Linked DNA regions of Sus scrofa. The protein of the gene in region 2 interacts with the protein of the main gene of each other region in a pairwise test. Links are inferred from orthologs where the notes say so. Each region holds a gene or a part of one and is shown on either strand. Other genes may lie near its edges.

Evidence for each region.
Region 1: the proteins of RNF40 (region 2) and NCBP1 interact in binary tests that used the Homo sapiens proteins (3 or more experiments, as listed by UniProt). The two-hybrid records come from large-scale screens. The link is inferred for Sus scrofa from reciprocal best matches to the Homo sapiens genes RNF40 and NCBP1.

What each region holds. Positions count from the first base shown.
Region 1 is NC_010443.5:239,491,289-239,495,033, forward strand, and holds the start of NCBP1 (nuclear cap-binding protein subunit 1), read left to right. Parts: upstream 1-1,284; 5' UTR 1,285-1,727; coding exon 1,728-1,761; intron 1,762-3,745. UniProt on the Homo sapiens protein: Component of the cap-binding complex (CBC), which binds cotranscriptionally to the 5'-cap of pre-mRNAs and is involved in various processes such as pre-mRNA splicing, translation regulation, nonsense-mediated mRNA decay, RNA-mediated gene silencing (RNAi) by microRNAs (miRNAs) and mRNA export.
Region 2 is NC_010445.4:17,633,590-17,637,334, reverse strand, and holds the start of RNF40 (E3 ubiquitin-protein ligase BRE1B), read left to right. Parts: upstream 1-1,344; 5' UTR 1,345-1,476; intron 1,477-1,585; 5' UTR 1,586-1,656; coding exon 1,657-1,788; intron 1,789-2,173; coding exon 2,174-2,341; intron 2,342-2,475; coding exon 2,476-2,617; intron 2,618-3,745. Other genes in the region: CCDC189 (coiled-coil domain-containing protein 189), read right to left, coding at 1-11, 340-371, 674-889.

The DNA of each region.
Region 1 (3,745 bases), on a different chromosome or scaffold from region 2:
TGCCTAACTGCCCTTCTCCCGTAAGAGCAAGAGGGGTGACTTTAAAAATAAGTCAGATCTCTCCCTCCAAAGGCTTTTAAAGGCATCAGATAAAGTCCAAGGTTCTTATAAAGCCTTTCCCACCACACCCTAATCGCATCTTTTTCTATTTTTGCCCACCACCTCTGACTGCAGTTTGCTGGATTCCTCAACCGGTCATCAGCACTGAGAAAGCAGGGGTTTTCCTTCGTTCACCTCAGCCTCCTCAATGTCTAGAACACTGCCTGGCACATAATAAATACAATATTTGTGGTATGGAGTAAAAGGTTGGGTGGCCAGGGAAGGATTCCTAAGGGGGCTGATGCTTGAGCTGGGACTGAAATGCCAAGGAGCCATCCATGCATACTTAAGGGTAGAAATCTTCAGGCAAAGGAATATAAATGCCTAAAGGGTGAACAAGCTTGCCTTACTGGAGGTACAGGAAGAAAGTAAGAATTGTTGGAGCATAGTGATAAAAGAGTAGGACCCTGTAGGTCAGGTTACTTTACATCGCAAAGTCATGAGAGAGTAGTAAAAAAGGAGTAACTGATTCCAGATCGGTTTTGAAAGTAGAGCTGATAAGGTTTACTGATAGTTCATTAGGTAGTAAGTAAGGAGCCAAGAATGACTCCTACCTACATTTTTGGATTAAGCAATCGGATGGATGCGTAAAAGTGAAGGAGCAATAGGTTAGGCTAGGTTAGGCTAGGAGAATGAAAGGTTCATTTCACGCGTGTGAAATTTCAAATGGCCATCGACAAAGCAGATAAGCAGCCGTGGTGTTCACCACAGAGGTCAGGGCGGAGAATATTCACATACACATAATGGAAGTATCCAATAACCACTGGAAACATTACTAAAGCGATCAACAACTCAGAGGGGCGAGAGGTCAGACGACGGTCAGAAGCTAACCGCAGAGCAGCAAGCTCAAGCTAGGCAGGGTCTTTCGGTCCCCAGAGCTGCTCGAGCGGCGCCGCTTCCCGCTTGGGCCCCACCCCGCGCGCCGGGCCTGGCCCAATCTCTCCTCCCAGCTTTCCCGAGTCGGCAGAGGCCCGGAAGTGGGAGAAAGATGAGCACGTACCCGCCAGTCCAGATCCTTTCTTAGATCTTTCTTCACCAAACCGTCTCCGCCTAGCAATTGTCACCTCTCACCACCCTTGCACCTCCAGCCCCCGCCCCTGTTTACGTAGGAAGGAACGCCGGGGACCTCACCTCGCCCCGGAAGTCTAGGCCGTTAGCGAAAGGGCCGCCGGGAAAACCACTGAGAGGCCCGGGGGGGAGTCTGAAGTGGAGGGAGTCTGAACTAGAGCGTCCCTCCTAGACCACCCCCGCCAAGGCGTGGCTCGCGGCCTGCGGGCTCCGGCCGCCTGGGGAGGCGGTGCTCTCCGCGTGGCCCCGGAAGGACTTCCCGCGGAGGCGGGCGAAGGAAGCAGCGGAGAGGCGGAGGCAGCCCGAGGGGGCGGTTGCGTGCGGACGAGGCGGCAGTGGCTTGGTGAGGTTCCAGACGCCGGCTCTCCGGGATCCGAGCCCGCCGAGCCCACCCGGCCACTTCTCCCCCTTGCGCTTCCGGGAGCCGTCGCGAGCGAGTGCGCCTGCGCGCGGGCCACTTCGTGAGCCTCGCCGCTGTCCTCGCGCCGGCCGGCTGCCCGACGGTTCCTGCCGCTCTTCCCGCCCGGCGTCTAGGCTCCGCCGCATACACAACGTGCGGCATGTCACGGCGGCGGCACAGCGACGAGAACGATGGTGAGTGCTCTGGGCCTGGCCGCCGAAGCCGCGCCCAGGTGGGGCCGAGGTTTGGCTTCTTCGGTCTTCAGGTCCTGAGCGAAGGGACGGGAAGCCCTTCCCCCAGGAACTTGCGGGGAGATGGGTGGCACAGCGGGAGTGTGGCTGGGCGACTGCTGGAAAGCTCGTGCTATCCCCCACCGCACCTCTTGAGTCGTCGGCGGAGGGGAGGCCTGGTGCACCCCTGGTCTCTAAGCACTCTTTAAGATAAGGTCCTTGGTACCGCCGAGCAGGGAAGTATATTTGTGTCTGTGCCGCTTCCCCTTAGAGACGGTGACCAGGACTCACTTGTCCCAGTGTCTCGTTTTGACCCTCAAACATCATGTATTAATGGCTCTCGGAAGGTGAGAGATCTGATGAATTGCAATCCCAGCTCTCCTGTGCGGGTCATCCGGGGTTTTGCCTTCTTTCAAACCACTGGGGAAGAAAAATCAGCTTCTTATCCGCACGCGAGAAGTCTTTAATAAATAGATATACGTAGGTCGTTATGTTAGATCTTGAATTGGTTGTAAGCTTATTTCTCTCGTTTAAGAAAAGAATGCCAGAAGACTCACTAGAGAGCTCGTAGAGGTTAGATCGGGGTTCCCATTTGGATATTTGCACTCATGGGGATCCTGGAATTGCCGTCATAGAAACCAGGAATAATTTAGCTAGTTAAAAATAGGAAACGATGCTTACATTAAAAAAACAACAGTCAAGAATACACATCTAGAAAAGCAAAAAGAAACTAAAAATAATTTAGTTATTAATACTTGAAAATAGTGTTGTAAAGTGGTTAAGAGGCCAGACTTTGGAGACAGAGGGTTTAAGTTCAAAGTTAGACCTTGCCATTTATTTTGTGATCTTGCCCAGATTATATCACCTCTTTAAACCTTAGTCTGTAGTATTGGATTAATGATACATGCCTGTTCTTGGTTTTGTGAGGATTAACATATGTAACTAATTGCTCATGATGATATGTATTTTATCATCTGTTAATGCTTAAGAATTGATAAGCATTGGCAGATGTCAACGATGTAGGAAAAAAATACGGATCAAAAAGTTGGATTTAATTAATTTTCTCCACTTATATTTTTCTCTCCTTGAATGTTGGGGCACTCGAGGGTAGGAACCAAATCCCACCTACTTAATTTTAACAATGAAATATCAGTTTTCTGCTAGGACATGGCTTGAGAGGATAGTCTAGTCCAGTCTTGTCACCTGACACCTAAGGGTCTAGATTTAGTATAATTAATGGAGATGGCTGTGCCCAGACACAGGTGAAAGCAAATCCAAGGTTCTTTTTGCTACACATGTATAGTAGGCTGCATGCTTTGATTTTTTTTTTTTTAATCACAGGAGGCTTCTTGTATAATGTACATACAGAGCACAGAAAATAGTCTTCATGTGCTTTGCATTTGATTAATTAAAAACCTAAATCTCCTAGAAGTCATCACTTGGTATTTGGAGAACTTGAGTCTAAATTTAAAGTTGTTCCCATTTTCTTTGCTCTTCTTGTGCTTTTTTTTCTCTTCTCCCTTCTAGGGCATTCCTAAAAGGAGAGGGAGTGTTTCCAAAGGACAGCCTGGAGAATTCGATGTGAATATGTAGTTTGGTTATTGGGATGCTAGCATAACTTTCTTAGGAGTTAGCTTCTGGCAGCTAAAGCACTGTCCATTTGGGTCTTGCTGCAGGAACCTCAGAATAAATAAGACAAAAGAAAAGAAAATAAGGAGTTAATCAAAATCCAACTAGGAACCATGAGGTTGCGGGTTCCATCCCTGGCCTCTCTCAGTGGGTTAAGGATCCGACGTTGCCAGGAGCTGTGGTGTAGGTTGCAGACGTGGCTTGGATCTGGCGTGGCTGTGGCATAGGCCAGCAACTGTAGCTCCAATTAGACCCCTAGCCTGGGAAACTCAACATGCTGTGGGCGAGGCCCTAAAAAGAAAAAAAAAAAAAAAGGAGT
Region 2 (3,745 bases):
CGAGGTACTTCCTATCATAGGAAAAGAGGGGAAAAGGTGTTGGCCATTATGCATTAGTCTTAGGACAAGGCTATGATGGCTAGAGCGTAGGACTGGGAAGCAAGAGACCTGAGTTAAGAGGTTTGGCTCTTCCACTAACTCGCTGTGTAACTTTATAACAAAGTCACTGAGGCAGCGGGAGACCTGGCTTATAGTCATCTTGGGTAATTGTATCTCTGGGCCTCAGTCTCCTTGTCTGTAAAATGGGAATTCCGTCCTGTTTGACAGGCTCGTAAGGAAGCGCTAAAGGAATAATACAAGTGTGAAGGGTAACTTTCCCTCAAAGCTCTTCACACTCACCATATGCAGATCCGGGGCTGGGGTAGCGGCGGCTGCGGGAGAGAAAGCGGATTGGGAAAGGCAGAGCTGCGTTGTTAGTCCTGGCCCGTGGTTCTTTGCCCTTGGTGAATCTCTGGTGGTCTAACAACGCGATACCTTGCCTTCTCATCTTAAAAACTGTGTACTAGCAATACCGGCGGGCTGGGCTTCGGCGATCCCTAAGTACTATTCATGAGCGTATTGACAAGCAGTTCAAGCCTGCCTCTTCACCAAGGCAGCCCGGGAAACAAACGGCCCCCTGCCTGGGAGCCCTTTTATAAACATTCATGAGCAGACCACTCTGACCTGTCCTCACCGGGAACAAGTTGGCTGCAGGATCTTCATTCGCATCCACTGAGGCCACGGTCCCTGACTCGGTCCGCACTCCTGTTCCCATCCTCTTGGCCGATTCATCCAACGAGCTGAGGTCCTTCTCATGGTCTTTCTCATGTTCTCGCCGCAGTTCGGAGTGCTGGTCCAGCTCCGACCGCCTTTTCAGTCGCCGGAATTGGCTGGATTTCCGGCGGATCATCTGGTCGCTCCTCTGTGTCGCGGGTCCCCACCGTCTTTATCCTGCCTCGGTTCTGGGACAGCCGATCTCGGGCGGCGACTGCCAAGGCCTGGCCCTTATCGACGCTTCAGCCAATCTACGCTGCAGAGAGGCCGGGTACAGCCAATCGGCTGGGGGCGTCCCTCCGTCTCAACGGTGACGGTTGCTAAGGAGGATCCAGTAGGAAGGGAGAAAGTGTACCGTGCTCGCCAAACTGTGAGAAGAGAATGCGCATGCATAATAAGATGCAAACCCCGCCCCGGTGCCCTCTCTTCGAAGTTGTTAATCTGAGGCAGGCGGCGTTATTAGGACTGCGGAGTGGAAGTGTGTTGTCAGTTACCATGGCAACTGCCTACCGGCCAATCACTGAGAGAAAGAGGAGGTGTTCAGAAAGAAACCAAACGGACGCAAGAGGAGGAACAAAGCACAACCAATAGAAACAGGAACTGGAGAAGATTTCGCCACATCCGGCGCTGCCTCTGGCGCCTGCGCTCTGTGCTGGGGGGCGGGGGTGCCCAGTGACGTCCGGTGAAGTCCAAGATGGCGGCGCTAGGCTGATCCTGCTGCTGGTGAGGGGCCCGGGGCCGGCGGGGCGGGGTCCGGCAGCTGTGTGCGGGGGTAGGCTCGTGGCTGCGGACCTCCGTCCCCTTCCCCAGCTCTACTCTCTGTCTTCTGCAGGTGACGGAAGTGCCGAGTCCGCCTGCCTGACGTCCTCGAGAGACCGGGGGCCGCTCCTCGCCGCCGCGGCCATGTCTGGGCCCGGCAACAAACGCGCCGCCGGCGATGGGGGCTCGGGGCCCCCAGAGAAGAAGCTGAACCGCGAGGAGAAGACAACAACAACGCTTATAGAGCCCATTCGTCTTGGGGGCATCTCTTCCACGGTTCGTGGGCTCCTGCCCCAGCCCGCCCAACTTCCCAGAACCGTTTTCCCAGTTCCCCAAGTTTAACCAGATCCACTTTACAGAGCATTCTGTTGAAGGAAACCTAGGACATGACGTCTGCCTTCCCCTCGCAGATAGGCAAACAGGTTCCCAGAGAGCGTGTGACAGACATGTCAGACTTCAGGTAGAAAGAGGCAGGAGCAGAACGTGACGCTCCTTACAAACAAGACGCTTCCTCCGTGGGTGTCTGAGCTTTGTATGTCCTGTTAGCAGTCTGCTCCCCTCTCACATCCGTTCTATCTGCTTTCCTTTGTCTCTTTCTCTGATTGGTTTCTTGGGCCCTTCTTGACCCTCTCTCTCCTCGGCCCCTCTGTTTCCTTGGTAGGAGGAGATGGACCTGAAGGTTCTGCAGTTCAAGAACAAGAAACTAGCAGAGCGATTGGAACAGAGACAGGCTTGTGAAGATGAACTCCGAGAACGAATTGAGAAACTGGAGAAGAGGCAGGCTACAGATGATGCCACACTCCTCATTGTCAATCGCTACTGGGCCCAGGTGAATGCCCCTCTCCTTTACAAGACTGGGCTTTGATCCAGCTGCCAGTTCTCAGACTTCTCTGTTAGAAAGGGAGTATCATGCTAGGAAGCACCTGAGGGATTCCTAACATTTTTGGTGCTTTCTCCTTTCAGCTGGATGAAACTGTGGAAGCCCTTCTCCGACACCATGAGAGCCAGGGGGAGCTGTCTTCAGGGCCAGAGGCGCCTGGGACCCAGGAAGGGCCAACGCGTGATGAGACCCCTCTCACAGAGCCAGGAACATCGGAGCTGAGGGGTAGGGCCAGAACCCTAGGATCTAGGAAGCTTAATTAAGTTCTGGGAAAGGTCCTGGAGAGGAAAGGATCTTGATAATCAGGCTGCTGAATTCCCTGCCTATACAAACACACACACACACAATTGATTTTATATTTGGGCAGCAAATCACAGTGGATAAGAACAGAGACTTTGGAATCTGAATGACTTGGTTAAGAGTACAATTCAGGTTTTATTTATTTATTTTTTTTGTCTTTTTGTCTTTTTGTTGTTGTTGTTGCTATTTCTTGGGCCACTCCCGCGGCATATGGAGGTTCCCAGGCTAGGGGTTGAATCGGAGCTGTAGCCACCGGCCTACGCCAGAGCCACAGCAACGCGGGATCCGAGCCGCATCTGCAACCTCCACCACAGCTCACGGCAACGCCGGATCGTTAACCCACTGAGCAAGGGCAGGGACCGAACCCGCAACCTCATGGTTCCTAGTCGGATTCGTTAACCACTGCGCCACGACGGGAACTCCCAATTCAGGTTTTAAAAGTATTACATGTATTTGTATTATGACTGTGTACTTGGCACTGGTGTAGATTTGGAGGAGACAAAGATAGTTAAAAAAAAAAAAATTACTGGGAGTTCCCTGGTGGCTCAGTGGGTTAAGGATTGGCACTGTCACTGTGTGGATGAGTTCGAATCCTGGCCTGGGAACTTTTGCATGCCGTGGGTGTGGCTGGGAAAAAAAAAAAAAGGAAAAGAAACACTGTCTTAGCTATTAGGGTGAAAGTGACTGTAAACCACACACACACATAAAAGCAGAAGGGCTCCTGAATGGGAATTGGTATGTGTGCACTAATTTATTTATTTATTTATTTATTTTTGTCTTTTGTCTTTTTTGTTGTTGTTGTTATTGTTGCTATTTCTTGGGCCGCTCCCACGGCATATGGAGGTTCCCAGGCTAGGGGTTGAATCGGAGCTGTAGCCACCAGCCTATGCCAGAGCCACAGCAACGCGGGATCCGAGCCGTGTCTGCAACCTACACCACAGCTCACGGCAATGCCGGATCATTAACCCACTGAGCAAGGGCAGGGACCGAACCCGCAACCTCATGGTTCCTAGTCGGATTCGTTAACCACTGTGCCACGACGGGAACTCCTTT